4 linked regions of the Drosophila melanogaster genome follow. The protein of the gene in region 3 interacts with the protein of the main gene of each other region in a pairwise test. Each region holds a gene or a part of one and is shown on either strand. Other genes may lie near its edges.

What was found.
Region 1: the proteins of SdhA (region 3) and CG15136 interact in a two-hybrid assay, tested with the Drosophila melanogaster proteins (one large-scale study listed by BioGRID).
Region 2: the proteins of SdhA (region 3) and MtnA interact in a two-hybrid assay, tested with the Drosophila melanogaster proteins (one large-scale study listed by BioGRID).
Region 4: the proteins of SdhA (region 3) and Nha2 interact in a two-hybrid assay, tested with the Drosophila melanogaster proteins (one large-scale study listed by BioGRID).

What each region holds. Positions count from the first base shown.
Region 1 is NT_033779.5:17,045,357-17,051,732, forward strand, and holds CG15136 (uncharacterized protein), read right to left. Parts: upstream 2,926-6,376; 5' UTR 2,773-2,925; intron 2,713-2,772; exon of another isoform or gene 2,710-2,712; 5' UTR 2,626-2,709; coding exon 2,415-2,625; intron 2,254-2,414; coding exon 1,892-2,253; 3' UTR 1,805-1,891; downstream 1-1,804.
Region 2 is NT_033777.3:9,781,367-9,787,925, reverse strand, and holds MtnA (metallothionein A), read left to right. Parts: upstream 1-3,555; 5' UTR 3,556-3,680; coding exon 3,681-3,702; intron 3,703-3,966; coding exon 3,967-4,067; 3' UTR 4,068-4,519; downstream 4,520-6,559. Other genes in the region: CG8500 (uncharacterized protein), read right to left, coding at 1,069-1,341, 1,478-1,549, 1,606-1,791, 1,849-2,019; CG12947 (uncharacterized protein), read right to left, coding at 5,169-5,386, 5,446-5,640, 5,699-6,229. UniProt on the Drosophila melanogaster protein: This protein binds cations of several transition elements. It is thought to be involved in detoxification processes.
Region 3 is NT_033778.4:19,389,329-19,398,968, forward strand, and holds SdhA (succinate dehydrogenase, subunit A (flavoprotein)), read right to left. Parts: upstream 6,644-9,640; 5' UTR 6,537-6,643; exon of another isoform or gene 6,450-6,536; 5' UTR 6,416-6,449; coding exon 6,359-6,415; intron 5,116-6,358; coding exon 3,518-5,115; intron 3,462-3,517; coding exon 3,311-3,461; intron 3,251-3,310; coding exon 3,071-3,250; 3' UTR 2,535-3,070; downstream 1-2,534. Other genes in the region: CG11257 (uncharacterized protein), read left to right, coding at 853-2,162, 2,218-2,515; cer (crammer), read right to left, coding at 7,034-7,234, 7,296-7,334. UniProt on the Drosophila melanogaster protein: Flavoprotein (FP) subunit of succinate dehydrogenase (SDH) that is involved in complex II of the mitochondrial electron transport chain and is responsible for transferring electrons from succinate to ubiquinone (coenzyme Q).
Region 4 is NT_033777.3:22,993,313-23,001,452, forward strand, and holds the start of Nha2 (Na[+]/H[+] hydrogen antiporter 2), read right to left. Parts: upstream 5,217-8,140; 5' UTR 4,869-5,216; coding exon 4,853-4,868; intron 4,474-4,852; exon of another isoform or gene 4,472-4,473; coding exon 4,202-4,471; exon of another isoform or gene 3,142-4,201; intron 250-3,141; exon of another isoform or gene 79-249; intron 1-78. Other genes in the region: CG34375 (uncharacterized protein), read right to left, coding at 7,140-8,140.

The sequences.
Region 1 (6,376 bases), on a different chromosome or scaffold from region 3:
TTTGTTTTGGTGATTTGAAATCGATGCATAAATAATGGTTTATGCCAGCGGCTTTGGTTTCTCCTGATTTTAACATTTCATGAGAGTCCCATACCGTGCGTTACGCAATGGGAATGTTATTATATATAATGTTTATCATATATAATGAAAAATAAATAAGTGAACACTACAATTTCTTGAATCGTAATATTCTTGTTGCAAAGTACTTATATTTTCGAAACGTACTGTCCTTCAGACGACGATAAGGGCGGAAAATCACAGAAATATGACAAACTTTTTCAATTGCACAATATACGGGCATAAATTTTATGCAATAAATAGCAACCTAAAACAAGCCAACAAAAAGGCTCGGAAAAAAGGACAAAGTTGCAGTCGAAAACGGGCTAAAACAAAAGATTGCCAAATCAACAATCAGGCAAAAGGGCGCGAAAGATCGTGAAAAGTTTTAGCCGCTTTCGTGACGTTTGCCAATTGCTGAATTCTCGATTCCAATGACAATCGCCCCAGGGCGAAACAACAACAACGGGGAGAGTAATAGTGGCAAAAACAAGGTGATGGCACGCCCACTTAGCCAGCTGCCAGTTCAACGCGCCCAAAAAGGGCAAAAGGAGCGAACGGGTTTCGTCGCTTACGTGACTTGTTTCATAAACAAACAGAAGGCGCAGAAAATTGGCACAAAATTGCCAAGCGAATCCTTGCCAAAGGACCAAAAATTGGGGGGCCCAGGTGTATGGTCCGGCACCTCCATTCGACTCCTTTTGCTCACATGTCCCGCTGACATTGAGCGGCGTGAAAGTTTCGCCCATGGAGAAGCTCCATTGGCAATTTGGCACTTTTGCATACGAGTTGGTAATTGTTTCCGCCAAGCATTTGTGCAGCTGCAGATGGGACTGCACTGCGTGTCCTTTTCGCCGCGCTTATCATTCAAAAGTCGTGGGCAGCTGCGTTATCCGTGGCTCGGGACATCAGACATCGGGGTACGGACAGCTCTAAATGAGACATTGCAAGGACACGAAAGTTTTCTCATTACTAGACACACACTCCAGCACCCAAACGCCTTATGAGTTTTCCTTCCTTATCCAAAAATTGAGTAAAACTAAAATAATCAAGAAACGAAAAAAATGAAAAGTTGTCGCCACTTTGCTAACAGACAATGCAAAAGTGTGCAGTCTAAGAAAATGTTCGAACTTTATTTGGACGAGTAAAAAAACGCTAGTTTAAATGAAAATTTAATTTGCATAGCCACTCGTATTTGAAAGTGAAGGTGTTTTTTAAATTCCACATGTTATTTTATTGAGTTTAAAAATTAGTTATTTAAGCCCGTACTATTTTCAGTGGTAGTTAAATCTGAAGGCAGTCCTGCTGCCATGCTACCCATAGACAGGTGAATCAAGCTTTCAGCTGCCATCCAGCGAGGAGAATTCTGCGTGCGGCAAAAGTTTTCATGCATATTCAACATCATTAGAAAGTCAGGACAAAGTAGCTGAAGGCAGAAAGGCAAGAGCCTTCGTGGAAAGTAAAACAAACCCGTTTAGGGCGCTAAAATGTAGGCTATAAATTATGTCATAGGTATAGTCGACCTTTCTCCACGGAGCTTCCTTTCTTCCAGTCTGCCGTAAGTGGGCTTGAAAGGAGTGCATTTAGAAAGTTCTGAAAAGCGTCTTAATTGCAACGACGTTGGAAAATACCTGTAGAATTTAATTCTTCGCGCTGGAAGCGTATTAAATTCAGAAAAAATGTAATTACTTACTAAAAGGGAAATCCCTTATAAGCACCTATGGTATAGGAAAAAAATACACAAATTGAGAGAGTAAGGAAGCAATTTACTGAGTTGCATGTAGGTGTGAAAACAAATGGAAAATAAATATATAAATTTGCCATTCCGTGGGACCTACATGACCAGACAGCACTTTTTGGCCGGTCTGGCGGAGTGGCGATTCTGAAAGCCATTCCTTTTTTCCTCATCTAAAGGTTCCTCCACATCACCCACAGTTTCGCGAACTTCCATTGCCTGGCTAACTGATGTGCTTCCTAGCTTGGGATCATAGGACTCGGCTCCGATATTCATGGCCTGGACTTCGTCAAACTCCAGTTCGCCAACCTCCTCCTCGCCAGGATCCAGGCTGTAAACGAAACCCGGATGGCGCAGACCCTGCTGCTGCTGGATGCTGGCCTCACGCCAGATGGACTCGTAACGGGGCTCGTAGCATATGTCCTCCGAGGTTGCCGTACTCCACCGGGTGTACGTAGATACTGCATGGGTATTAAATTTATAAATCCATCAGGAAATTAAAAAGAAATAAATAAATGCACAATACTAAAAACCTATGCAAGTCAAAGCATAATATATATAAAGGGCTTCAAAATACAATATATATTGTTTTAAATAAACATTATTTCCTTTCCGTACTTACACTCATCAAATAGCTTTTTGGCCACCTGGCTGGCCTTGAAGTCGGGCACAAACACAGGTGCGTTGGGGTTTAGGCGTCGGTCCAGCGGTCGGCTAACGACGGGGGGCGTGTCGCCCGCGGCGGGCGGAGGGCAGCTGCCAGGAGTCGAATGGGCGTCACCCACTTCCCCTGCAAGTTCGCTGGTCGATGCGGTGGCGGTGTCCTTCAACATGGTCAGCAGAGCACTTAACACTTGAATAGTTTTTCAAATCTACATTTGAGTTCCGGCCGGACGATTTCAAGTAGCTTTTCTATTCTGCTTAAATGCTCAGTTGACAATTATGGCAGGGCAAACTACCTGATTATTTGATTTTCTTACCGGTATTCAGTGCCAAATATTAATGAATGACCAAAGACAGCCGCTTCCAAAATATTTTGCCAAAACTTTGGTATTGGCCGATTTTTGCTATGAGGGTGTTTATCTCTCAACGTTTGTCTTCACGAAGTAATTTGTGTTCCTACTATTTTTAATGCTTGGCCTTTGAAATTTAATTGGATAAGTAATGAAAAGTCAACTACGATTAAAGCTACACTATTATTTACATACACAATTTATGATTGCAGAACGTACAACTCAATTAAATAGAAAACTATTTCAAAAAAAGTAAGTTAACCATGCTCCTTTGTCCCGATTCCTTGTAATTTCTTTGAAATGTCAAAGGTTATTTACCTCCATTCAATTTCTGTTAGATTGTTATTTTGAGGATTTATGGGTTTATCCATCTTATTGGGGCTTAACCCGAAAACTGCTTCAAATCCATGCATGCCATAATTCGATTTCATAAATTTGATTCCACTTTCAACTGTCATGTTTGCTCCGCTTTTCTCGTTGCAAATAAAGTTTGACTTTTAATTAAATGGCCGAACTTACAATAATTTTAATAAGCCGTATAAATAAATTATAACAAATTTCACACAAAGTGAGATAAAATTGCCTAAAACTCATCCTGACATTCCATCTTGCTGGTGCGTGTGTGTCAAATTTAATTTTGTGAATACCGCAAATTGACAAATATTTTCGTTTGGCCAACAAGAAGAAGACCAAAAGCACCCAGCACTCTAATTCAATCTGGCTGGTGTATTTTAATTGATTTGCGCTAAAATTTATTGATTTCATTTTGTCAACAGTTGTTGCCAGATGAACCGCAAAGAACGCCTGAAAACCTCAGACCCATTCACCCATTCAGCCATTTGCCCAACTTGAGCTCATTATGGCAGCTTCAGCCCCCTTGGAACCCAATATTTGCATTCATTTTGTGTGTGTGCTAATTTGCATGTGCGAGTGTGTTAAAACATAAATTAGTTGACTCTGCCGACACACCCACACAATCGAATAAAATAAAGAGAAAGGGGTTAGAGAAAGTTTCAACCGAGAACCGAGAATTTATTGCCAATTCATTGCATTCGCGCTGCTGTATCGAGCGATTTCGCTAACCGAACAAATAGCGGTTTTAACTGTTTTTAGTTAATTGCGCAAATTACTTGCGCTAATTTATTGGCCATTTTGTGGAATAGACAAGGTTTTTCAGCTTATAGGTTTAGTCCGACTAATTTGTTAGTTTCTGAAGGGATGTTTTTTTTTTTTTTGACTTCTTATTCTATACATTTTGTGTAAAAAAATACCATGTAGTTCTTCCTGTTTCAATAACACTATTAAGCCATTTGACAATTATCTTCGACAGTCATAAATCCGTTAAATTAAATAAAAGGCCAAAGTTTATTTAGCTACTCAATCAGGGACACAAACAACACTCAAATTGTTGGACAGTTTCAGATTCAAATGGCAAGCGGTGGTCGAAGGGCAAAGTAAATAGATGAAACGAAGTCTTCGCACTTTTGTAAAGTTGCTGCTCAGTGTTGGCGTATTTCCCTTGAAGGAGTAACGTATCATATCTTTTATTCAGCTTTGAATGAAGAAGTCATGTCAGAATATGCCTCAGATATAAACCGTTAATATAAAAACGAATAATATTAAATTGTATTATATTACATTATATTATTTGTGAAGGGAAAGTAGCCAAGATGACAGCTCTGGTCGCTCAGCAGTCAGTCAGTCACCCACTTGGTCAGTCACATGGGCTGCACATTCAAGTGTCACTGATTTGAGGATAAGCACTTCACAGGCAACTTGATAGCCCCCCAATCCGGACCCCCTCCATATATATATGTATATACATATATCTTTGTGTATGTATGTATGCTGTAGTGGCATTGGAGCGGTTGTGCCGTGTTCCGACGGGTTGCTTGGTTGCCTGGCCAGTCAGCCGTGGTCGGGAAATATCACAGCAGTACTCTCTCTCATTCGAGGGCCACTCGTGCAAAGCGAACTAATTTGAATGTATAAAATCAGCAGCACTGCCGGGAAGCCCCACAGGGACAGACATACATATCCGCAATAATATATATAAAGGGACAGCAGATAGACAAACTGACTGACTAACTGACTGGTCGAATGACTGGCCATGGAGAGTGATGAAAACAAAGGCCATCATTAAGCGTTCCATCTTTGAGCGGCTTTAATTGATGTGCGTTAAATCGTTGACAAACTTGATTAGGAAGGCCAAAAGGGGTTATTTTTTTATTTGTTAAATTGCATAAATAAATTTCATTAGGCTGTAAGTGTCTTGAGCTCAATTATGAAATAGAAATTCGTTTTTATACCAATTATACTGCAAATAGCTTTTCTTCTGTGTGAACAATTTCTTGGAAACTAACATTTAAACGAATTGAACGTACTATTAGAAATGAAATATTGAATATTATTTAGGTTTTTTTGTCATGCATCCAAATATAGTCTAGACTCTCATATTTGCTTTTAACCCTTTACCCACGTTTTCCCTAGATGTTCATTTGGTCCGTTAGACCCGCTTTTCCGACTTCCCATATTTTTTATCGCCCGCCTAAGCAAACACACATAGACAAGGTGTCCAAATTACTGCCGGTTGTTGGTGTAGTCTTGCCACATGTTTTTGCTGTTGCAGCAGGGTTGCTGGTGTCGTTGCTTGGTGTCAGTGTTGCCACCTTGTTGGCGAAAGCAACTGCAAAAACAAGAAAAGCTAGAAAAGTCTCTATAACCGAAGCAGAAACCACTCTTACCTAAAAAAAAACTAATTTTAAAAACGGCACTATAAACTTTGGAAAATATTAAAAAGAAGGTTTAAAACAATTATACATATATTTAAATCACTTTAAAGGCTATTAAAATGAAGATGGCTTTAAAAGATTAAAACTCCTGCTGTTAGGGTATAGGAAGAGAAAACAGCGACTCAAACAGTTGCAAATGTTGCATTTGCATGCATGGCCAGTCGGCAGCAAATTTCACCTGTCCCCTTGCACTCCTCTTCACACCCCAAACCATCGTCCTGGCCACATCCATCGGCTGGCCAGTTCGGGTGAGCGTTGTCGTTGCCATTTAGACAAGTGACATATGTGCCAGGCACAGGTGAAAGGGGCCGGAGAAAGGGGAGAAAGCGAACGAGAGAGACAGCTCATGCAACATGCAAAATAGTGTGTCAGAAAGGAAAGCCGACTCGTCTCTGTTTGCCCCCCGGACAGGCCACACGCCCCTTCTCACCTTCTCGCCACCCACCCAGATCTCCTGCATCCTGCAGAGAGGGAAAGGATGTCGCCGTCTCCATATGAGAATAGTGCCTGCAGTCCCGTATCAGAAAGCTTCCTAGTAAGTTTGCTCCCATATGAAGTTAGTCTTAATGATCTGCTATTGATCAAATTACAAAACTACTTCATAACTAGTTTGAATTTCTGTTTCAGTTTGAGTTGATTATTAAATAAAGGTATCCTTCTAAGGAGATGGCATGGATATCTACGTTACTTCGGCTTTCAGGCACTAGGATTAAAATATATATATATAAAAAACTTTAAAGATGTAAATGTGGGCTTAACAGTTTAGTATATATTTAATA
Region 2 (6,559 bases), on a different chromosome or scaffold from region 3:
TTAGGCTAACTCTCTGACTGATCGATCTGGCTACTACTGAGAAAGTTCAAGCTGCTCAATAAAGTTCAGCAAATAAGTGTAAAATTGTACATACATATTTAATATAATACAAAAAACACAATGCCATTGCGAATTTCTTCTTTCATCTGTTTTACGGACTGTGGGCTGTCGGTGTTGTTGGCCTTGAGTATTTTATACATTAGCTTATATGGCGATCGGGGCGAATCGTCCGAATCGGTATTATTCTGGTTAGGTGGTAAATAGTTAAACAGCAATGATAGTCAGGGGGAGGCATCGGCCATTTTCGGCCAATTGCGGCCACTTCCGTTTCCGGTTGCCTCGCGATGCTCTCTATGTGGCGATCACGGAGAAGTCTTACGTTGATGGATCCATGTAAATATTTTGTTATCATATCGTAGTAGATACAGATTCTATGTCTTTAAGTAGGTACTTTGGCTTTCATTAGAGATATTAGTGTATAGCTTCGTTCGATTTCGTTTCGATATCTGGTTATGGAATGGCTGATGGATCATGCAGTATGTATGTAAGTATGTAAACATTTGATATGTATGCCGTTACGTTTCAGATGCGATTATGTGCAAACTTAGGGTTAGTTTCCGTGGTGTGTTTGGATTAGTATATATGTATATATGTATGCAGTACGTGGTATCGTGTCTCTGTGCGACTAGAAAGATCTGATCGGCTCGAATAGAATATATAACCTATGCAAAATATACTCGTAATCGTAATTGCAATCGTGGTGCGACTTATCCAGTCAGTTCCTAAATACAAGTGTCTCGTTATGCATGTAACTCTATATGTGGATAAAGTGGGGATTGTGTGTGGTATGTGGTATGGTGTAAGTGGTGTGTGCGGTGCGTGGTGTGGTGTGGTGTGGCGTGGCCCGTGTGGGTGGCTACCTAAGCCAGCAACCCCCCACCCAAGGGTGCTGCCCCAAGGCGAGTATTTGTCTGTCACCGTCGTCTCCGTTCACTTCAGCTCGACGCAATGTGACCCGGGTCACATGGCCATGCCATCTGGCCATCTGGCTCTTTGGCCATCCGATGCTTACATAACGCGACACTTCTCCTTGGCCCCGCCGCTGGCGCTGGCCCCCGCATCGCCGTTCTCCGGTATCGAGCCGTTCGTGTCCTTGGACTTCTTCTCCTTCTTCTGCTTCTTCTGCTTCTTGGTGTCCAGTTGCAGGGAGACGGTGCGCGTCTTCTCCATGTTGAGCAGCTCCTGAAACAGCTCGGTCACATTGTGGTTCGTCTTGGCCGACGTCTCCATGAACGATATGCTCCAGGTGGTCGCCTGGGCCTGACCCTCCGCTTGGGAGACCTGTGGATGGCACATTTGGATTAGAGGTTTTCTTAAAGAGATGATTTTTCTGTTTAAAATCCCCCTTGAAGATTGTAACTTAGATCTTAGATTAAGCATGTATGTATATGACGGATCAGATGGAACATCCTCTAACCTCTCGCAACTCGGCGGTCTCATCACACTTGTTGCCCACCAACATTACGGGTATGTTGGGAATGTCGGCGCCCTGTGGACACACAACGTATTAGTACATGAGAAATGATTGTCAGGCAGTGGACCAACCTTCAGCTCCTTGATAAGCGCCCAGATGGGTCGCAGCTCCTCCAGACTCTGCTTGGAGCACACCGAGTAGACCAGGATGAAGGCGTGCCCCTTCGAGATGGACAGCCTCTGCATAGCCGGGAATTGATGCGATCCCGTGGTGTCCGTGATTTGCAGCGTGCAGATGTTCTTGTTGCAGCTTATGACCTGTGCGAAGACCAGCGGATTATGTGAGTAATCTCTAGCACCAGGCGTCCCACCCACCTGTCTGTACGTATCCTCGATTGTTGGGATGTAGCTTTCGCGGAACGTGCCCTTTATGAAGCGCAGCACCAGTGAGCTCTTGCCCACGCCGCCGGCTCCAAAAACCACCACGCGGTAATCGTTGCTCTGCTCCGGTGCAGCGCGCGTCACCTGATTCTTCTGCTCCGTCATCCCGGTTACCGATACGGATTCGAGTGGGTCGAACGCGGTCGCGTATATCAAACTCGGAGTGGAAATCGGAATAGAGAGAAGCAGGAGCTGAAGCTTGTTGGCTTGCTGTCGGGCGCTGGTGGAATGTTCTACTTGGGCGCCATGCTTTCGTTTATCTGCAACAATTAAGAGCAAATCAGCTTGGCCACAACGCCCACGCACGCACAACCTTTCCGGTTCGCCAGTTGGTGGATGTGGGTGGTAGGGACGTGATGGGCGTGGGCGTGGGTGGCACTACCACTTTAGGGTCCCGCAACAAAAACAAAATGCGAAAGAAAGTTAACTTCCGAAAGCCGATGGTGATATACACTAGTAGGCATGTTAACACACTTTATTAGTTGAATTGGTTTTAAAATGTATATTCCTTTACACTAAAAAACTCTAAGAACCTTTTAAATTGATAATGAGTTGATTATATTATATATGATTCTATTATATAAACCCGCATAACTCCTTGGTTGACTTACAACTTCCTTATCAAAGTTGATAGAACTCCTTTTTAATAGTATATTTAATAACGGCAAACAATGTGTGTGAGAGTATCCCGCTAATTTTAGACATGTGGCAAGGAAGGGTATTGATTTTTCGCTCCACTGGCACTGATCGGCACCAGCCTCTCCTCATCATTATCGCCACGATTATGATTGCCCATGACCGGGTGCGGTATAAATAGGCCTGCTTTGAAGACAAGTGTCCCATTCGGAACGGTTTTCTATCCCATCCGCCCCCAAACACACACACACACACACAATACACACTAGCCGTAACTGCTCACTTCCGCTTGATTGTCCTGGTGGACCCGTGTGACACCTTTGGCCCGCCCCCTTCAACCGACTCGCCTTGCGATTTTCCGACGTTTTGTTTTCCCGCACACTCGTTGTTTTGTATGTGTTTTTTTTTCCACCTCGTACACCTCACGCGCTTTGCTCTTGGATTTTCCTCGCTTTATTTTGGCTTGGATTTATCGATTTTATCTGCACTGCACTTGCCACCCACACGCGAGAATCGAGGGAAAAGCCAGTAATGGCCACCGCATCCATATACCCGTTAATTGGGATGGCCCCAAAGGATCTGTGGGAGTCCCAACTATTGCGTAGCAGTATTTACTTGCATTTCGTTGCACTGGAATTCGTTGCAGGACAGGATGTGGTGCCCGATGTGACTAGCTCTTTGCTGCAGGCCGTCCTATCCTCTGGTTCCGATAAGAGACCCAGAACTCCGGCCCCCCACCGCCCACCGCCACCCCCATACATATGTGGTACGCAAGTAAGAGTGCCTGCGCATGCCCCATGTGCCCCACCAAGAGCTTTGCATCCCATACAAGTCCCCAAAGTGGAGAACCGAACCAATTCTTCGCGGGCAGAACAAAAGCTTCTGCACACGTCTCCACTCGAATTTGGAGCCGGCCGGCGTGTGCAAAAGAGGTGAATCGAACGAAAGACCCGTGTGTAAAGCCGCGTTTCCAAAATGTATAAAACCGAGAGCATCTGGCCAATGTGCATCAGTTGTGGTCAGCAGCAAAATCAAGTGAATCATCTCAGTGCAACTAAAGGCCTAAATAGCCCATACCTACCTTTTTTGTAAACAAGTGAACAAGTTCGAGGAAATACAACTCAATCAAGATGCCTTGCCCATGCGGAAGCGGTAAGTTCGCAGTCTGGTGTGATCCTTTAGGATATCACAGATCTTTCAGAGAAATGGTATTATACTAGTATAAAAATTCAATGGTGATTCAATAGTATAAAAATTCAAGCTGAAACTATCTGCAAAGTGAAATCTCTGAGTTCGTCTCTCTAAGAAAAGAAGTTCTTCAACTGCGTTTTATAAAATGGAACACTAATGTTATATGGCTTATGGATTACAGGATGTACCAGCATGTACTAATTTTTAAATTCTACTTCTTTCCAGGATGCAAATGCGCCAGCCAGGCCACCAAGGGATCCTGCAACTGCGGATCTGACTGCAAGTGCGGCGGCGACAAGAAATCCGCCTGCGGCTGCTCCGAGTGAGCTTTCCCCCAAAAAAGATCTGGAGTAGAGGCGCTGCATCTTGTCTCTCTACACACCCTGCAATAAATGTCCAATTAAAGTAATTGATGCCTAACTGCGTCTTTTCGGGTTGCATAATCAATTGGTCTGCGGCATTCTAGGTTAGATTCGCTTTTATTGGAGGTAGCTTCTAGCTACGTGGTCGGCAATATGCGTCGTGGAAATGGGATGGTCAAGTGTTTTCCACAATGTGCATATACATATGTACATAACACTAAAGTCAGTTGAGCAATATGGTAATCTGAGATGCCTCACTTCTGAAGCGACTGAGGGATTGAGTTTCAAAGCACAGCGGCTTGAACTCATGACTTGTAGATAAAAATACAGTTGCGGGCGTTAGAATATAGCCGCTATCGAATGGATAATATTAAAGAATACTAGCTTTAGAAATAATAAAAATATATTACCCTATCAAATTTAAAACGATTTTAGGCATAACAACGAAATGGGTAATGAAAGTTCATATTTAAATCGGCTTCCATTATTTTATAGGTGATTCATAGAAATATATGATTGTAGACTTATTATTGCTCAGTCTGTTTTGTGAAATGCCTCGTTTATAGCGCAAAAGTGCCATATAGTTTTAGATGTAATATGATCGCGCAATTAACATGAAAGTGTAAGAACCCGGCATATAAACGATATACCAACGAAATAAGTCAAGAACAAGAACCCCACGGCAGTCGGGTGAAGTGACCTAGGAGGCGTAGGGTTACGGGAGACCTCCACCTCAGACCTCCAGTGGAAAAGCCGCAGATGGAGTTTATGGTTCGTATACATACATATATACTTTATTTACTTTGCTAGCCTACGAATGCAGCTTAGGTCTAATACTAGGCTAGGTGAACAATACTTAATGGAGAATTACGAATGGATGGGGTGCGCAGTATACAAAGGTGCATACATATGTATGTCTATGAATGGTATGGGTGTGGGCATATCTTCTTTTTGGTTATCAGCGTGGCCAAACAAACCCGGGCGAGATTTCACGGCGGTTTCGAAATGGTTCTGTCGAAGGTGCTCGACGCACGTTGAAAAATAGTGGGAAATTCACGGTTCGCCCTACTTGATAACGATATTCTGTGCCAGTCGCTTCACGAAGTCCACGTTGAGAAAGTTGGCCATCAGTGTGAGCACGGACTTCTTGGGCGGCCGGCAGTGGCGCAGTCCCGCCTCCTGGCAGCACACATTCGGAAAGCAATCCAAGGTGGAGGTGCACGCCTTGGGATGAAGGTCAAAGATGGGCGGCGGCGGGGCTGTGCACTCCAGGTACTCTGTAACTGGAAAAGCGCAAGGCTTCGATTGATTTCGGTTATCATACGGAAAACTTTTAACTTACGATAGTCGAAGGATCGCTTCACTGGCACTGGAGCTGTTTCCAACTCCGGCTGCGAGGTGCGGCAGTATCTCCTACGCCCATCCGGGCAACAGACCCTTGGCCAGCAGTCCATGTCTGTGGAGCACTCCTGGACGTCCCACCAGAGCTCGGCGAGCGGTCTACTCGGGCACTTGCGAGGTATCAAGCCCAGAATGGCTAGCAAGAGCAATAAATTGAATAATATCTATAGCAGCTAAGGATTAAACCCACTTACGAGCATGTGGAGTCTCCTCTAGCGGCTTTGGAACGCCAGAGACACAGCTGCTTGCTCCAAAGATATCACAGCACAGCTCATCCCGTTGCCACACGGCACAGTCTCGATCCGCCTTGCAGATCTTGGGGAATAGCTGGAACCTCACCTCGTTCTCCCGCGGACAATCGAACCTCAAGCGCAGCTCGGCAGCCGACCTCTTGCCCTTCTCCGTTTCCCTATCCCTGTTCTTATCCTGGTTGTCGCGTGGGAAGTTCAAGGTGGGCAGTGCAATGCGAAAGGGTCCATCTGTAGTGGGTTTTTGTGTGCTAGTTGTTGTTGCGCTTCGACTAGTTGTACTCGTTCTCTGATCCATCGGTTTCCTAGTGGTCTTGGCCACTTTTCGTTGGCCGGACTTTTCGTCCTTGGGACTAAACTTTTTCGGCGGATGGGCCTGCTTGGTGGGCGGACGCACTGCCACCAGACTCTGCTGGCCGAAACTCCAGAAGTTCCGATTAAAGAAGTTGAAGCCGTTGGCCAGGCTGGGACGCGGAGCTGGGGATTGGATGTGGAAAGCGGGTTTACCAGTGTGCTTAATGACCATTAGTGTTTCTGCTCCAAATAGCAGACATTACACGTCAAGTAAAGCGCAGTTCCCGCCGCTCATGAAGAGCGTTTGATTTGGCTTTTTTGTTTTTTTTTTTTGTTTTATACTTCTGTTTCGTTATTAAGCCAGGCCAACAATGGATCAGCAATAGCGCAGCCTGTTGGCAAACGTTTCCCACCCACTCCATGCGCTCCATAGACCCAACGCAATTGTCTACTTGGCTGCTTGCAACAGCAGGTGGACGCAAGTGAATCACCCGCGAAAACGGCCATACTACC
Region 3 (9,640 bases):
TTTTCTCAACTCTGATTATATATTAGATACATACATAAATATTAATCAGCATTAATTTAAGTCTCACCTATGCTTTGTGCTCACACACATGAAGAAATTAAAGTGGGTGGTTCCCAATTTTTAAGTGCCATAAAAACATTTAGTTAGTTCATCAAGAATTATAGCACCTCATAAACGGCCTTTAACGCCACTCAGGCGGTTAGCCATATAATCAGTAACAGCAATTTGGTTGCGGTGGGTCTGAAATCATAAAGATTCCTTATCGGTTTCAAAAAAAAAAAGGCGTGAGAAACTGTCGCAGATATAGGTATCAATTAAATTTGTTAATGCACTATGATCCAACGTCGATGGTTTAATTAGTTTCAATTATTTCAATTTAAATTTAAAAGCATAAAAAAGCGTTAAAATAAATTAAATTAAAATAAATTTAAAATTTCTTGTTATAAATATTTAGGTAATATTTCATTTATGGAAAATTCAACGACAAATTTTAAAGAGTAATATTGCTTGTTGTTCAAGTGGAAAGCTAATGCTTCAGTAAATCCATCATCTTATTAAAAAAAAATTTATCTATCTAAGAATATTTAAACAGATTACAATAATCATTTACTGTAAGAGTTACTTATAAACTTTTATTTATTTTCAACCTAAACCCACTCCAATGGAGTGTTCTTTAAAGAAGCTATATGGTGGCATTTTTAAATAGAACCGCCAAGATCCGTGGAACTAGTTCATTTGGACTTCGCAACTGGTTCTCGAAACCAAAAGCAAAATACAGCTGTTTCGCCTTCCACTACTCCTCACTAAACAGCTTGTTGATTTTTGCGCGATTACCTTTTTCTTGGACTAATCATGTCCGATCCGTCCCTTAAACCACCCGCCAGTAACCAACCGCTGAGGCCACCCCAATTGATGGCTCCTGCGGGATCCGGCGGTGGCCTGCAGTTGCCCGTCACTGCGCCACAGAAGCTGAACTCCAATGGATCATCCGCTTCTGGATCGGCCACTGGTAATCCGCGCAACAAGTGCGCCCTAAAGCCGGGCTACTCCCTGATGAACTGGATACGGCTGTGCAATTCTGGAGCGGATCTATCGGGAACCGGAGGGCGTCTGGTGCCCGTGTCGCGAACGGAATTGGCCCGGCACAACAAGATCGACGACGCCTGGATGGCCATTCGTGGTCGTGTCTTCAATGTCACCCGCTACATGGACTTTCATCCGGGCGGAGTGGATGAGCTAATGCGTGGTGTTGGTCGCGATGCCACCAAATTGTTCGATGAGGTGCACGCGTGGGTGAACTATCCACAATTGTTGGGAAAGTGCTACGTGGGACCACTAAAAGATAATGAGACAAAACCTGCCAAGGAAAGTCCACAGATTACCAATGTGATATTGCAGCCTCCGGAAATAGTGCCACGCTTTGATTGGATTCAGCAGAGGAGCGAACTTACCCTGATCTTCTACACGCGCAGCCTGGCTAATCCAGGCCTGGTTGTCCGGCGGAAGGACCTCCAGCAACTGAGTGTGCGGGTTCTAGTCCAGCACAATTGGCACAGCTTTGATTTTCAACTGACCAACAATGTAGAATGGCCTCCAAAGTTAGCGAAAATCGGTTCGGAGACGGGGAAAATTGAGTTAGTTTTTGTCAAGGAGGAAGCGGAACCATGGCCAACGTATGGAACACATGTGTCCAACAGATTAGACTCTAGCCGATTACATGATGAAACTTTCGAGTATGAAGTAGTTCACAGCAAAGATTTCAATCACGACTCCTTTGAACTATGTCTGCAAAGTGTTGGGCAGAAGGTTCTGATGGTCCTGCCGGCTGGTTACCATGTGGATATAGAAGTCCCACTAGAGGGACGGGTAATTCAGCGCAGCTACACACCAGTGGATCACACCTATCTACGTTTGGAGAACATCAGATCATCCAGATCAGAATGCTTACACTTTCTGATCAAAAGGTATCCGAACGGACCCGTCTCCAGTCACCTGCAAAAGCTTGAAACTGGATCTCGCGTCCATTGGAGTGCGCCACGTGGATCCTTCCAGCTCTCTGATCTCACTGCACATAGAAATATTCTACTCCTAGCGGCGGGAAGCGGATTAACGCCAATTCTGAGCCTAATTCAGCCCATCTTGAAGAGAAATACAAACCGAATGTAAGTTCTTAAAAATCAGTCCCGAAAAAAACTTACTTATTTCCCACATTTACAGTGAAAGCTTACAATTATTGTACTTTAACAAAACCAATGAGGATATCTGGTTAAAGGAGAAACTCCATGAACTACACACCGACGACGAAAGATTCAGCTGCACAAATTATGTCTCCCAATCGGAGGATAATCCACAAAGAATAGCGCTGGAGCTGCTAGCCCCTTTGTTCCAGAAAAATCAACCGGAAAGATGTACTTATGTGCTCATTTGCGGACCAAGTGGATTCAATACCGCTGCCTTAGATATTTTGAGTCAACTGGATGTTAAGGCCAATCAAATTCACGTATTCCGCGGCTAAGTGAAGAAGTCATTTAGTTGCGCACTTAATCTTCATTACATTTATTTAATGTATAGCAAACGTTTCGACTTTTGTTCTTTTTTTATTGTTTTTACACGTTTTCGTTTTAATAATTTAATAAGTTTAACAAATACTAGAAAAGTGTAGTTGGATTTGTTTTCATTTGCTTCTAAACAGGCTGCGTAGTCAATATCGCCTCAGACCTAACTCGTTGTCTACTCACACACATTTTTCGCTTATGTAATAATGTAAATAACCGACAACCAAACAGTAACCAAATGGAGGGCAGCTTACAGTGAAACTAAGTAGAATCAGCGGAGTAGTAATAAGGATTTGAAAGATTTATAGGTGTATAGAAAATCTGGATTTACGTTTCATCACAAAATGCCCGGAACCGCTGCCGAGTTCCCAGTTACCAATTGGTAGCATATTGCGGCTCATTTGGCGATTTGACAAAATTTATTTACTGGCGCCCACAAAGACGTTTAAGTAGACATCCGTACGAGTGATGGTATGGGGTGTATATGCGGGTGTTCTGCAACTCCAAGTCTTGATTTAATAGGAGCGAATCGCTGGTGGAACAGTAGAGACTTCGTTGTCCAGCGTGGTATCGATCACGTTTCTGTAGTCCAGCGTAATGTCTCCGTTGTCATTGCACACCCACGAGAGCGTGTGCTTGCGCCAGTGCTGATCCATGGGCTTCTTCTGCTGACCATCCAGGGGCTTGCTGAAATCCTGCAATACATGTTGTTCCATGATAAGAAGTTCAGGGGCTGAGTGCCGACAGTAACTTACGTATTCATCCTCGCGAACCTTGAAGTCCTCGCGGGCGTGGGCACCTCGCGATTCCTTGCGCGCCTCAGCGCTCACAATAGTCATCTGGGCATTGGCCAACAGATTCTGCAGCTCCAGCGTCTCCACCAGATCGGAGTTCCAGATAAGCGACCTTTAAAGTCAAGGAATGTTAGAGGGAATCAAAAAAATACTTGTTTTTATATTCACCTATCGACAACCTTGATGTCCTTGAACTGCTTGTAGATCTCCTTCATCTTGTTCACACCGTCCTGCAGGATGGGGCCATCGCGGAACACAGCAGCATGATGCTGCATGGTCTTCTGCATCTTCAGACGCAGATCGGCGGTGGTGATCTGGCCGTTGGCATGGCGCAGCTTATCGAGGTTAGCAACAGAGGCCTCGCCAGCGTTTTCCTTGAGGGTGGGAGCCGGTGCACCAGGCTTATTCAGCTCGGCGATGGTCTTGGCGCATGCACGTCCGAAGACCACCAGATCCAGCAGAGAGTTGGCACCCAGACGGTTGGCACCATGCACCGAGCTGGAAGCAGCCTCACCAGCGGCATACAGTCCCGGCACAATCACATCCTTGCCATCCTTGTCAATGGTGATTACCTGGCCGCGATAGTTAGTCGGCACACCGCCCATGTTGTAATGCACGGTGGGCAACACGGGGATGGGCTCACGGGTCACATCAACACCGGCGAAGATCATGGCGGTCTCGGAGATGCCAGGCAGACGCTCCGCGAGCTGCTTGGGCGGCAAGTGGTGCAGTTGCAGGTACACGTGATCCTTCTCGGGTCCAGCGCCACGACCCTCCATGATCTCGATGGTCATCGACCGCGAGACGACGTCGCGAGAGGCCAGATCCTTGGCCACAGGAGCATAGCGCTCCATGAAGCGCTCACCATTACCGTTGATCAGGTAACCACCCTCACCGCGGCAGCCCTCGGTGATGAGACATCCGGCGCCGTAGATGCCAGTAGGATGGAACTGCACGAACTCCAGATCCTGAGAGGGCAGTCCCTGGCGTGCAACCATAGCAGTACCGTCACCGGTACATGTGTGCGCCGAGGTGCAGGAGAAGAATGCTCGTCCATATCCACCGGTGGCAATGACCGTGTTCTTAGCGCGGAATCGGTGCAGTGTGCCATCCTCCAGGTTCAGGGCCAGCACACCACGGCACTCGCCGTCCTCGAAGATCAGATCCAGGGCAAAGTACTCCACAAAGTAGTTGCAGTCGTAGCTCAGCGATTGACCGTATAGCGTGTGCAGCAGCGAGTGACCAGTACGATCAGCCACAGCACAGCAGCGATGGGCCTGTCCGCCCTTGCCGAACTTCAGACTCTGTCCACCGAAGGCGCGCTGGTAGATCTTACCGTCCTGGGTACGCGAGAAGGGCATGCCGTAGTTCTCCAGCTCAATGACAGCCTTGGGCGCCTCGCGGGTCATGTAGTGGATGGCATCCTGGTCGCCCAGCCAATCGGAGCCCTTGACCGTGTCGTACATGTGCCACTTCCAGTCGTCCTCCTCCATGTTGCCGAGAGCGGCATTGATACCGCCCTGGGCGGCGATCGTGTGCGAGCGGGTGGGGAAAAGCTTGGTGATCACCGCCGTGCGAAATCCCTCAGCCACCAGGCCAAAAGCCGCCCGCAAGCCGGCTCCTCCTGCTCCCACGACGATCGCATCGTAGGCGTGATCCACCACCGGGTACTGCTTCGATATCTTGTCCGGATTCGCCGCCGAGGCCTGCTGGCGGCCGTGTGTGATGTGGTAACTGCGCTGCACTCCAACGGCTGCGGCACGTTGCTGCAAGATATAAATTGGGATAAATAAATATCATATTGGATTGGATCATATTCCATGAAAAATAAGTCAAATATATCCCCAAAGCAATAAATATAGAAAATGGATCTATAGATTAAAATATTTTCAGAGTTGAAAGCCGGGGTTGTCAATAAAGCTATCAACTTATTGTTTGCTTTAGTCATTCAACGATAATTCACAATCGTTTGCGAAAAAAATTACGTAAACTCAGACTTAAAGATTACTGCCTGTGTTGTCATTTCTTAAAGGGAATGTTTTCTCAATATCTATTAATTAAATAGAAATTTTCAGTTTCACGAATACCCACATTATTTACGTATCTGAAATAGCTTAGTGTTATCTTATCAGAAAATTCCAAAAAATTAAGACCGGAAAGTGCACAAAACGTTGTTGCAACTAAACTTTCGGCCGTTAGTTAAATTTAAATGCAAAAAAAAGGTGTAGATACAAGTTGAGATAGTATCTTTTGGTGACGTCGGCAAGATAAGTTGATAAAAACAGAAAGAGCGACTTGCAGTGATAACTGCTTATGTAATAAACAAATGAAATAATTGAACTGGCATTTTTCGGCCGGGGTTTTTTGGTGGAAGGGGGCGGGGTAGATCAGCACGGCGATCAATTAGCTCCATTGTATAATCAGCTGTTAGTTCTGTGACGTGCCTCCATCTCTCTCTCTCTCTCGCTTGCTCTCTCCGCTTGCCAATCATTTGATTTACTATATACTACTATCCTCTCTTTTGTGAATCTTCCGATTAAGCGGTACTTATAAAGCTTTTCAAGGCGTGTCGTGCATCCAAAACCAAGTGTTTCAACTGCATTTTGTTGCACGAAATGCCCAAATGCACGATATCGTCGATGCAGGAGAGCATGGATGAAGGGGGCGGGGCGGCAGCATAACATAACCTCGCTGGTGCACACCTAGCTTTCCACTATAAAATCCGCAAAATTGCTGAACACTTGCTTGGAATGATATTCGCTATATGAAAATTAATATAATCTAGCAAAGGGAATAATTTAATGCACCTGTGTCCCACAATTTGCTCACAAATTACATAACACAAGTACGGGTGGCGCGTTTTTGGCCAATTCGTTGGTCTTTTTCTGTTGTCACATCACGAGCTGGCTGGCTGGGTTCTGTGTAGACCCGGTTGTATAACCACTCTTAAATCATTTCGTTTGCCACAGAGGAGCCTGGGTTTTCACTTCCAAAATGGGGACTACTTACCATGGAGGCGACTGCATTTTTGGCCAAAATCGATGGCACACGCATGATTCCGGACATGTTTGGCTGGGCTGTGAGGTTCTACTGCAAGATTCTGCAAGAGATTGGACCGAAAACGAGGTTTTACGCGCTTGTAAGATGGGGTGTTTGGTGTTGGTACAAAATAAAAACAAATAACTACGTGTATCGATGTGTCTATGTGATCGAAAAAGGAAAAGTTTACAAACTTTCAAATGTTGTGTGTGAACTGCCGCTCGTCGGCACTGCAGTTCGGTTCACTGACTCGCTCAATGAACGCTGAACCGGAACTAGTTCATCGCAGAAAGGCGTTAATCCGCTTTAAGTTCAAAATGTATATAGATACCGCGTACAAGCATACATATTTTTGGAATGGAATTTTACCATCTCAGCCGTACGTATTTATTTGCATATATCGTAGAGATAAATAAACCTTCGTTCATTGAACCAAAACCTAATGAACTGTTTTTCTCCCAGCCAAAGTGGCCAGAACACAAAAATCCCAAAATCTTTAAAATGTACAAAACAGCTGATTTATTGTTTATTTGGGGGTGGTTGAACGATAAAGATTTAAAAATTCAAATGCATATTTATAGAATTACAGAGAGATTAGTGTCTTTACAAAATGTCTATTTAAAATGAGATTCACTTGAGATTCTGTTAATTTGGCGGCACCTTTTTGCCACAACGCTGGGCAAATTCCTCAGGCGTGAGATCAGCCAAATGATTAATTCCCATTTTCCAAGTCACTTCGCCCTTCTCGAACTTCCGATTGTGTTCCTCAATCCGGGCTTTGGACTCGGCGTAGATTCTACGACGCATCAGATCCTCCTCTGCCTCGTAGTTCTTGTCGAACTTGGACTATGGTGGAATCAAGTGATTTCTAAATATTGCGTCGCTTGCTAGGACATATTGGGCCTACCTTGTACTCCACCCACTCCTCATCTGAAACCAGGGACATCTTGACACTTGTAATTTTGGTGACCGACTAAATTTCGTTTCAATTCTCAGGTTTTATCACGGTTTCGCACTGAGTCACAACATATAAACACAACAAAGAAACGATAATATATGCAGCTGATCAGAGATGCCACTTCGGTGAAAAACAAACATAAATAACAGTGGGCCCTCGTTTATGAAAACCGGATACTATTCAAATTCGATTTAAATCATATGCTAAATTCTCAAACATTATAAACATTTAATGCAAAACCATTGTTACATTTTTTGGAATGACTACTCAAAAAATAAATACAAATAAAAAAAACCTCTTTTCAAATACTTTTGAATTTTGTACAATTTTCAAGTTTTTATTTATTACGTGTTTACTTCTTCGTGTGTGTCGTGTTTTTTCTTGTGTATAATACGAATTTAAATATATATTTATATGCATTTTCTTACACTCTAAACAAATTTTATGAATAAACTTTCGGCTTCTCGTTTGCTTTTTTCAAAAGTTTTTTTATTATTTGCACAGAGTGAGAATATTGACATATTTCTAATGTTAATCTAAGGACAAAATTATACAGACTTTTTCGCCTTAATGACGCAAAAAAGTTGCTAGAAATAAGCTTCTGTCGTTGCGCAAATAATCAGTTTAATTATACTTTATATTTTGCCGTTTTTTTTTTTTGTTTGTTTGTTTGTCTAAGGCTCAGCAATGCAAGTATTATGTTGTAAAGAGAGTGTTTTCAATGTGGTGGTGGGTTTGGGTAGGAAAAGCAGAAACATTCGATTTATCTGGCATTAATCATCGGGGTTTTAATTTTATGTCAGTTAATTTGAAATGTAAATGCGTTTAAGTTGTGCCTTAAAGTTTTACATGCTATGGCAGTCGTATATAGTTAATTGCAGTATTCGTTATTCATCGATTTGAATATTATAAATGGAAAAGCGATTACAAATCAAGCACATCTACTTACAAAAGAAATGCTGAAATTTGATTCTTGGAGATAATTTTTGGAAAATTCCAACCATTCTCAGTGATTGTGTTGTTTCTGCTTTCCTCAGAGTAATCGCATGTTTTAATGCGGGCGTGGTGTATTTTTGGATTTTCGTTTTCTTCATAATTTATTGGTTTTTATAAATATATATATGTATATGTATGTATAAACAGTTTTACGTACATAAAAATATATAATTATTTATATAAAAAACTAATACAATTGCTGCATGTATACAATAATTATTTATTCGTTTTGTGTGCAAATTGTGGCTGCCCGGAATTTAAAAACAAAACAAAAGAACACAAAAACATAAAACGCGCTTTCACAAAACACACACATGCCTAGAATATCAAATTGTAGTTGTTGTCATCGAATTTATTGCATTTCTAAAAAAATATTGCATTTAAGTATTATGCATGTACCACGCTTGTACGTATGTGTCTAAAAACAAAAGTTTGCCTTTGTTTCAAACAAATCTTTGTTTGTCGTTAGAGTTGCCTGGGAATTTGTACCCTTTTTTATCTGTTCATTTGCTTTACCATGTCATCATGTAGTAAGGTGTGTTGCGTAGTTATTTTATAAGCTAATACATCTAGAAGATATTTGCAAGTTACTTGTTTAGGACAAAGCGGCGGTGTCGGATATTGCGTGTACACCTGCAAACCTCATTCTCGTTTATCATACAAATTGTTGTGTGAATTGCATTTATCTCTCTCTGTGTGTGTGTGTGTGTGGAGGGGAGGGTGTGTTGCCGTGGCCATCGTATAAATTAAAAATTAGAATTATATTATAATAGATATAAGCTGTGAATGCGAATTAAGGGAGGGTGAGGGGGATTTCCCCTTAGATGCATCTCGATCGATTTTAGCTGCTCATCCGTTGCTTGTTTAGGCCTCTCTCTTTTTTTTATATAATGCTTCTTTTGCTGATCTGGCTAAAGTTTCCATTTTCTCGTGGTATCATTGTCGTTATTTTTCTCGGTTCCCGCTGATGGTGGGAGGTTGGTCAAGATTGCTACTCCTACGGATCACGCTGATGGTCAGCTTAGGCCTCGGCCTTCTTCTTCTCCTTCTTCTTTTTCAAAAACGATGGTGTGCGCAGACCCTTCTTCTTCTTCTTGTCTTTCTTGGGGGATCCGTCCGTGGAGACATCCTGGAACCGTAATAGAAATTTGCAGTGAGAATATCGGTTGCGCTTCGGTTAGTAAATCAAATGAGGTTAGCTCAATGCATGATGATGTTGTTTAAAACTGGTTGTCTTGTCGATGTAGCAACTCTACTTGCTAATCGCTTACCACCCAGCTTACTGCTTGTGAGTGTTC
Region 4 (8,140 bases), on a different chromosome or scaffold from region 3:
ATGTTCTAAACTGCAACAATAAACACAATGATGAGAGTTGGAAAACTATGGTTTTTCCCAACGTTGTGAGGGGCTTACCTGTTCGGCGGATAATTTAATTAGATTGCACTCATAAAACTAACAGTATTCAAATTCATCACGCATTCCGATTCAGTGGAAAATGCGATTTTATTGAAACAGTTTCACAACCGAACCGCACAATTTTAATGCCGAACACCGACTAATCGCGTTCAATGGCAGCGGACAACTGAGATGTCAGCTCTCTTAGGCGGATAGCTCCACAGCCTCGATACGGAATATGTATATATTTTTTATCTTATGCTAATAAAAAAAAACATATATCTGGGAGTTCGAGGTGCTCTCGTGGGCACGCGAGCGAACCAGACAAAATATTTGTTTAATAACTTAAAATTAGCAAGCAAACTGAGAGAGAGAGAGATTGTGTGATAACGAGAACATATGGGATTATTAGATGGAACCCTGGATCGGAACGCAGGTGCTAATTATGATAAACCGATCGCGATTATGATGTTTCCCACATACATCACATTGAGTTGTAATCTTTGGGGGGCAGACGGCGATTGCAGTAGCTGGGAAATTTCTAATCCCGACCCGCCTTGCAACATAAACACTTATTTGGCCCAAAGCATTTGCTTATCAATTAATTAGCCATAACCAATAGGGAAACTTATGTACGCCCTGCAAATATTTGCCATTTCAGAGGGGCTAAACTCTCGGTTCAGTTGGATTTCGGTTGAGTTGATTATGGCTGCGAGCTTATTGATTATTTACCAGTTCAATGCAAAGTTCGCGTTTGAACTACAACAAATATTTAAGTTTTGCTAATTAATTTAAAATATCTACCCGCCCCTAAAAAACCGAAACTGAAATGGCGCTCGGGTGAGGGGAAAGTGGAAGGGAATGAAATGATAACAGAGGCAAGATTTCTTCTCCATCTTTTTGAATTATGTGCCTCATTTAAAAGTTTTTGCGGCACTTACTTTTACTATTTTTTTCCATAGCTGCCTGGCAAAAAAAAAAAAAATGGTGCATAAATTGTGCAAAGGTGTCGGCGAAGATAGCGTTCAGGTATTGTAAGGCAGCACTTTCGGAGGTCCTGCCGCTGCTGTGATATTTCATATTTCACATTCATGCGCTGCACTCGAGAAAAAGGGGAAGCCGTTGAGCCAACTTGAACTGCAAGTTGGGCAGGTCATTAAGGCTTCATTGGACGCCGCCCCATTGATTATTACCTTTGGCAGTTTCCGGGGCCACGACCACGCCCCCCTATCACTGCACCAATCCCATCCGCCCACTTTGCCCGGGGCACTTTTTTGGCATTTTATCTTGTCATATTTTCTGCAACTTTCAAGTGACCAGGCACGAAAATAATGCAAAAGTTATTTTAAGCCAAGGCACTGCGATGCCTTTCGCATTTCGCATTTCGCTTTTCAATTGCCCAAGAAGTTTCCACACAAATTATGCCACTGGTCGCAAGAAGCGCAGCAGGAGCCGGAGCAGGACTCCTTCGCAGAATGTGCTGATGGAAAAAAGTAATGGCCATATCCATGGAGCTCCAGTTACAGTTGCAGCTGCATCTGCAAAGTTTTTGTCATCCGCTTGTCATGTGCGGACTATTGCGTACGAGTGCGAATCTGAGGTGTTAATTGGAAGCGAGGCAAACACTTTTCCAGACGACGTCGGCCCGAAAACTAAACAACTTTGAAAAAGTTCACTTAGGTCTAAGGATGGAGAATTTATAGTTCTGCTCAAAGTTGAACGAAGTTTTTTTTTGCTGTCACTTAACATTTAGATTGTTTTTTCAGCTAAAAGTGCCATAAAAAGTGCTCGGCAAGACGGTCTACTGAATGTGTATCCCCAGTAATTTATATCAGTTATTCAACTATTCATTATTTACAGGCGAACGTTAGGTGCTTTTTCAATATGTTTAAACGGAAAATTGCGCTCGCTGATGACAGAAGTCCTTATTCTCCTTATTCCGTGCTCTTCCACGCCAAGGAGCCCGGAGTTCCTGCTGTCTGAAGTCTGAAACTCTTTCTGCGTCTGGGGCGTACTTATATATCAAATCACTTTTCCCGTACTCAGAACACATTTATTTTATTTATGTTTACTTAAGCGTACCACCTTTTAACTATGCCAGCCGGCATCCTTGCCGCGTCCTGAATCCTGATGCCGACTTGCAACTCCACATGCAGCGCGCATTCGGAAAATAATTTCTTTGCGTGGAAGAAGATTGCATTCCGTTGTCACGCACTTCCTGCCAAGAGATGAACTCACGCCCCAGCGATTCGCATCGAATTTAGTGCTCATACATCGCAAATCAGTGGAAACTGGCACTTTCTTGGCTCCGGGCTGGTAAACTATATAAAAATGGTAGAGAAATGAGGTCACAAAGCGCCATTCAGCGCCATGCTGGTAAATAAAAGAGCCAGAGACAAATTGAAAAAAAAAACCCCCGTTGCAGCTCGGCAAATAAGCAGCCAAAGTCTGACAGGTGGTCAAAGGTTAAGTGCGGGAGGGGCGACTAAGTGCAGTTTTAGTAATTAGCTGTGGCGCAAGTGCAAGTGCCTGCAAATCCTTCAGATTTAGCCAAAGTATTCAAGCCTCCAAAGTGGGCCAACACAGCTGCGAAACGCACCAGCGCCAATTGAAATGGCGTCGAAAGGGTTTTCGTGACGGTTAACATTCTACCATTCATTTGGCAATCATTATGCTGAGTCACAGTCTAGCTGGCATTTATAAATGTCGCACACTGCGTATACGTAATGAACTGACTTGCACACACACACACACAGGCGCATGAGGCGAATGCGCAATGCACTGCATTTATCAATAGACGAGTGCATGTTTGTGTGCCAAGCGTATATCATGTTGGCTTTAGTTAACAGAAATGTCACCGTTTCACTCACAAGCAGAAGCGACAGGTGAAATGTGGATGGGGCAGGTGGATGGTAGGGCTGTGCCATTCAAGGTTGAGCTTGAGGAATTGCCCCAAACGCTGCATTTAAATGGAATTTATTTAATATAAACGAGTGCCTGCACATGCGAGCATTAGTGCTGCCTGCAGCGGTGCGCAAACTTATTTAAATATGACTTCCACAGTCAAATCAGAGTCAGACGCGAAATGGAAACGGGCATCGGAATCGGAATCGGAATCTGAATCAGAATCAGTGGTGCACTCCGAATGTGAAAGCGAATAGCAAATGCGAAATGAATGCACAGGAAATGAGCCCCGGTTAATGCATATTCATGGGAACATACTTTGCCGAGAGCCGCGGGCTTTTGCCACTCGTGTTAGTTGTATGATTGCGGGCATTTGGGCGCAACTAAACTGGCTCATTATTCGTGTGAAAATGCCACAATTGCGATGGCCCAAAGGGAAGTTCTCCCCAATTCTCCCAAAAAGTTGTACAATGGACTGGTGCGAAAACCCGCATTTGAACAGATGCAAAACAATTGCTGCTCTGGGAGTTTCAAAAATACTAGCTACTCGGCTGTGGGCGAAAAACCAGCAAGGGCCACCTGCCAAAACAGAGGAGCGTAAACAAAAAGCTCGGCCAACGAAAGTGGTCCACACACATGGCCAGCAGGGCACAGCCTTGCATATTTCCAGAAATCAGAAGGAATGTGTAGGAAATGCCTGCCTTTGAGTTTGAGCCGGGACGGTAGATGCACTGGACTGTCAATCGCAGACACTCTGTCGTCAATATGCGGAAATATTACGTATACGCCCCTGTGTCCCCCGCCCGCCTTCGCCATCTTGTGCAAGATGTGATTGTGCGGTTCACTTAAAATCGAAATGCCTCAATCAGCTCCTGCCAGTTGAGAGAAAAAGCTGTGATTCTGCCAGGATATCTCGACGGCGAAACAAAAACTTTGCATAAACAAACTATGAATACTCGTATATGTGCTGAAGTGCATATGTGCATATCTGAGCACGCATTGTGCACTTGGCTGTCGGAGCCACTTCGCTTGGCTGGCCAACAAAGCGTTGGCATGGAGCTGTTCCACTGGATGTCTCTGTCTTCAGCATCCTTTTTGCCGTCCTGTCTGCGGGTTGTGTGCACACTGATCCGGGGAGCTGGTTGCATAAAGGCAAGAATTTCCGTAACAAATACTTTCGTTCCGCATTTTTCGAATTTCCCCATGACGACGCGGTGCAATTAAACATATCACTCACCTTCGATGGCGCTTGGCGCGGTGCTTCCATGGGCACGAGGGGGCACCTGTGGCTTGTCGCCAAGGAGGTGCTCCTTTTCCGGCTCCAGGATGCTGGCGGTCACCGTTTCGCTGGCTCGACGCAGCATATGCAATGGAGTCAAGTTCGCATCACGATCGCGTTCGAAATCTTGCTGGCAGGAGGACATTTGATACGAGTCCTCGAAGGGATTGCTGCTGCGAAAGGCTTGCAAGGGTGGACCCTCACTGCCTGCCACTACATCCAATATATCTAAAAAAAAATATATATATATATATAAATTAATTTGTATGATATTAAAATTAAAATCGCTTTATATTCATACTTTTTTCCCACAAAAAAAATTGACTCAAGCTATTTGGTAACATTTTTAATTACGCATGATAGATAAAGCCGAAGGGTTGCTAATCAAACAAAAAATATTGATAATTCCATTCTACCATTCTTATTTTCCAGTCCCAAGTATATAAATAAAAGAGTTAATTTCCCAACAATTTGACTTGTGGAAGCCCGAACATATTTGCACACGATTTATTTATTGGCACTTGGGCAAAAAGTGGCATTTAATTGATTAACCATAAACTCGTAAATTAACGCCGAAAGTGAGTATCGAAAGCTGCCAGAATCGCTTACCGGAATCGCTGCTCATGTCGAATGTCGGCGAAATCCAGAGAACAAAACAAAACTGAGTGATTGAGTGAAAAAAACGCGGAAAATAATGCCAAAGAGCGACAACTGCTGACGCAATCAGTACGATGACGTAGTCCAAATGGCTATTCTTGGCTCAAAATTGACGAGTGCCAAAGAGAAACGCCGCGGTTTGAAGAGATTGGTTAGCTGCGAATCGAGTGGATATATAGTATATAGTATAGTATATGCAGGGAACGGAACACGCGCGACACGACCGGCGGAAAGGCGGAATGAAATAGTGTAGTAGCCCCGGAACTTGAGCACTTGGAGCTTCTTTTTATTACAGCTCATGCACTGGCAAATATTTGCCAAACGCATTAATTAGAAAAGCAAAAGCCATTTAAACAAGCAATTGCCGATTCGCGCAGCTCCAGCGAGCGCTCTTCGATTAAAACTAATTGGCAAACAAACAAGCTCTGCGGAAGGCGAACCTTCTGTTTTCATTGCTGTCGAGCGAAAAGTGCGGAATGAGTTGGTTTCTGGGTTGGGTGAAATGAGGGGTGGGGGTGGGGTCTGTTTGGAAGCACTTACATATTTATAAGGGGTTCGTTTATCTGCGATTCAATATGCCCATAGTTTTCTAAGGCGCAGCCAATTAGCTGATAAATAATTGTCATGTAATCATAATTTATCTGAACTAGATAAGGCGCCGAATAGCCGCGTTATTAATAGACCTCTAATCATAGCGCATTTCCCATGTGTGAGTGTCGGAATGATTAAACGCTTTCACTTTTTTTTAGGGAAATGTGCGCGACCTGCCCCATTTGAGCTCTATCATTGGGGCGGCAATTCTGTGCCATAGATGGCGCTTTAGTTTGCCAGCTGCGTTTACATGGTATTAAAAAAAAAACTACCTTATATTGTTTTTATTATTAATTATTAATTTTTGTGAGCTTGGAAAGCAATTATATTTCCTTGAAGTAAAAAGAGTTTCGCTTGTCTTGCAAATTGTTTTTCTGACAATTTGCATTTTGACGTTGCTCATCATATTGGGCGCCGTGGCCACTCCCACGCCGTGGCTGTAATTTAATTGCTTCGCTGGAATATTTTTAATTTACCTGATGGACAAACCAGCCCCATGACAAAGATAACCAATCGCAGTGACGTCACCACCATTATCCAGTGCTCCAGTCAGATCATCTCCTCATCAGGTGCCACACGTTGTTGCGCAAAAAAAGTGTCGTTTGCGAAAATATTTAATTTATTTTAACTATGCACACACACTTTTTTGCACTGTATGGAGTTGCAGTTGCACTCTCACTCTATAAGATGGCCATTATGACGACGATGATGATGACTATGATGATGGCTCAAAAAAAACAGGACATTGTGAGGTGCGGGGCGCTGCAAAAAGGATAATACAACTTTCTCGCTCTATTTGCCACGCACACACATGTTGTTACAGTGCCGTGATTTTTGTTGCATCAAATTGGAATTTTTTCCTTAAATATGGTAAACATCGATGGGGCAGAGATTTATGTATAGTGCAGCGGCGCGTTGATGAAAATGACTCGCCGCTGCATTGACCGTGTTTACTGTTTGTCAGACAGGGCAGCAATTTACGCCCACATGCAAAAAACATTAATTTGCATGCAAGTCAATTATCAGGAGGCAGCAAACAGACAGGCGCTAGTTACCAGTTTTCAGTATTCAGTTTTCTGTTTTGAGTTTTCAGTTTTCAGTTTTTCAATTTCTTTTGCACAAACATTGGTGTTATTATTCCGCCATAAGGATGCAAGGACTAATGGAGATACTCTTGAAATGGGTCATGATATTCCAAAAGAATCGCATATGGCGCAGAAAGATTTATTTTGTTTTTCATTAAAGTACCATACAAACCATTAATTTAGCTCGCTACTCTTATAGAGCATCTGCAGGTTGTTGAGCTCAACGTGGACACTCAATGGCGAGGACTTTCAAACTGCCAGGCCAGCACATTTCTAAATGTTTTTATTAATTAAAAATATTGCAAATTAAACACATTTCCAAATTGCGTTTTGCATTTTTCGTATAAATACGCGGTCGATGGAAAAAATGCAAATATAATTTACAAAGCATACATTTCACATTTTATTCTTATTTTATGTTCATTGCATTTTGGTTTGCTCTATCGCCGCTTTCGCAGCCATCAGTTCTTAAACTTGCCTCAAAGCTCTTAAACACGATTACTACCTGCTAATTAGCTTAGAATACCTATGTTTTGGGACCAGTCTTGGGTGCATGATGGGGTCTACCTGCTTTTGATGGTCACCTCGCACTTGGCAGCCAGATTGCGGAGGGTGAGGAACTGGCCGGATGCCCTAATCTCCGGCCAGCTGCACCGGAGCGAGTGAGCAGGTCCCAGGAATCGGTGGCCCGGAGTCTCGATGACAGTCTCGAAAGTGGGTCCATGTGGCAGGTGGTCTAGGTGCCACAGGAAGACGGCGTGCTCATCGCCGCCGCCGATCGCAATGACAGCCAAGAAAAATGTGTGCACTCTGACGTGGCCAAAAGTGGAGGACTCCTCGCTCAGCCGCAGGCAGGCCACGCCCTCCAGGGGCAGCTGGGGGCGGACGTGCAAGCGTTCGCCGAACGTGCCGTAGATTTGCAACACTGCCAGCCGGTGGTCGCCGCTCAAATGTCGCAACAACTGCCATTCCCGCCGACCTATTGACCCCGCCTCCAGTGGCAGCTCCTGATTTACTCCGGCTGCCGGCGCCTGTTTATGGCTCCCCGCTGATAAGGATGCACCTCCCGAGTTCTCAACCACCGCCAGCGCCTGCATCGCGACTGTTGACAATTTGTTGGCCACTGGCTGGCCAAGTTGGTAACTGTGGCTGCTGCATGATTTCCCAGTTGGGCAATGATAATTTTGATACTCGCTCTCGCTGCTTGCTGACTTCTCATGCCCCAGCTGCTGCCGCTCCTGCTGCTGCTGTTGCTCCTGCACCTGGACACCATTATTTATGGTGGCAACTTCATCGCAGCGCAATCCGTCTTGATCTGGCCCAGTAATCCGCCAACTTTTCTTACTCAACTTTAACTTTGGTTTAACGAGCATATTGTTGTGACCTTCCTCCGAAAAGTGCTCGACAGCGGCCTCCTGATGCTGCACTTTTATCAGCGTGCAACGTGGCAGGACAGCCTCCTGCACCGCCTGCTCCTGCTCCTGCCCCTGCTGACTCTTTCTTCTGATTTCCCGAGGACTTTGGTCCACCAAAACTGTTTCGAGTTGCCTGGAGATTTGCTTGC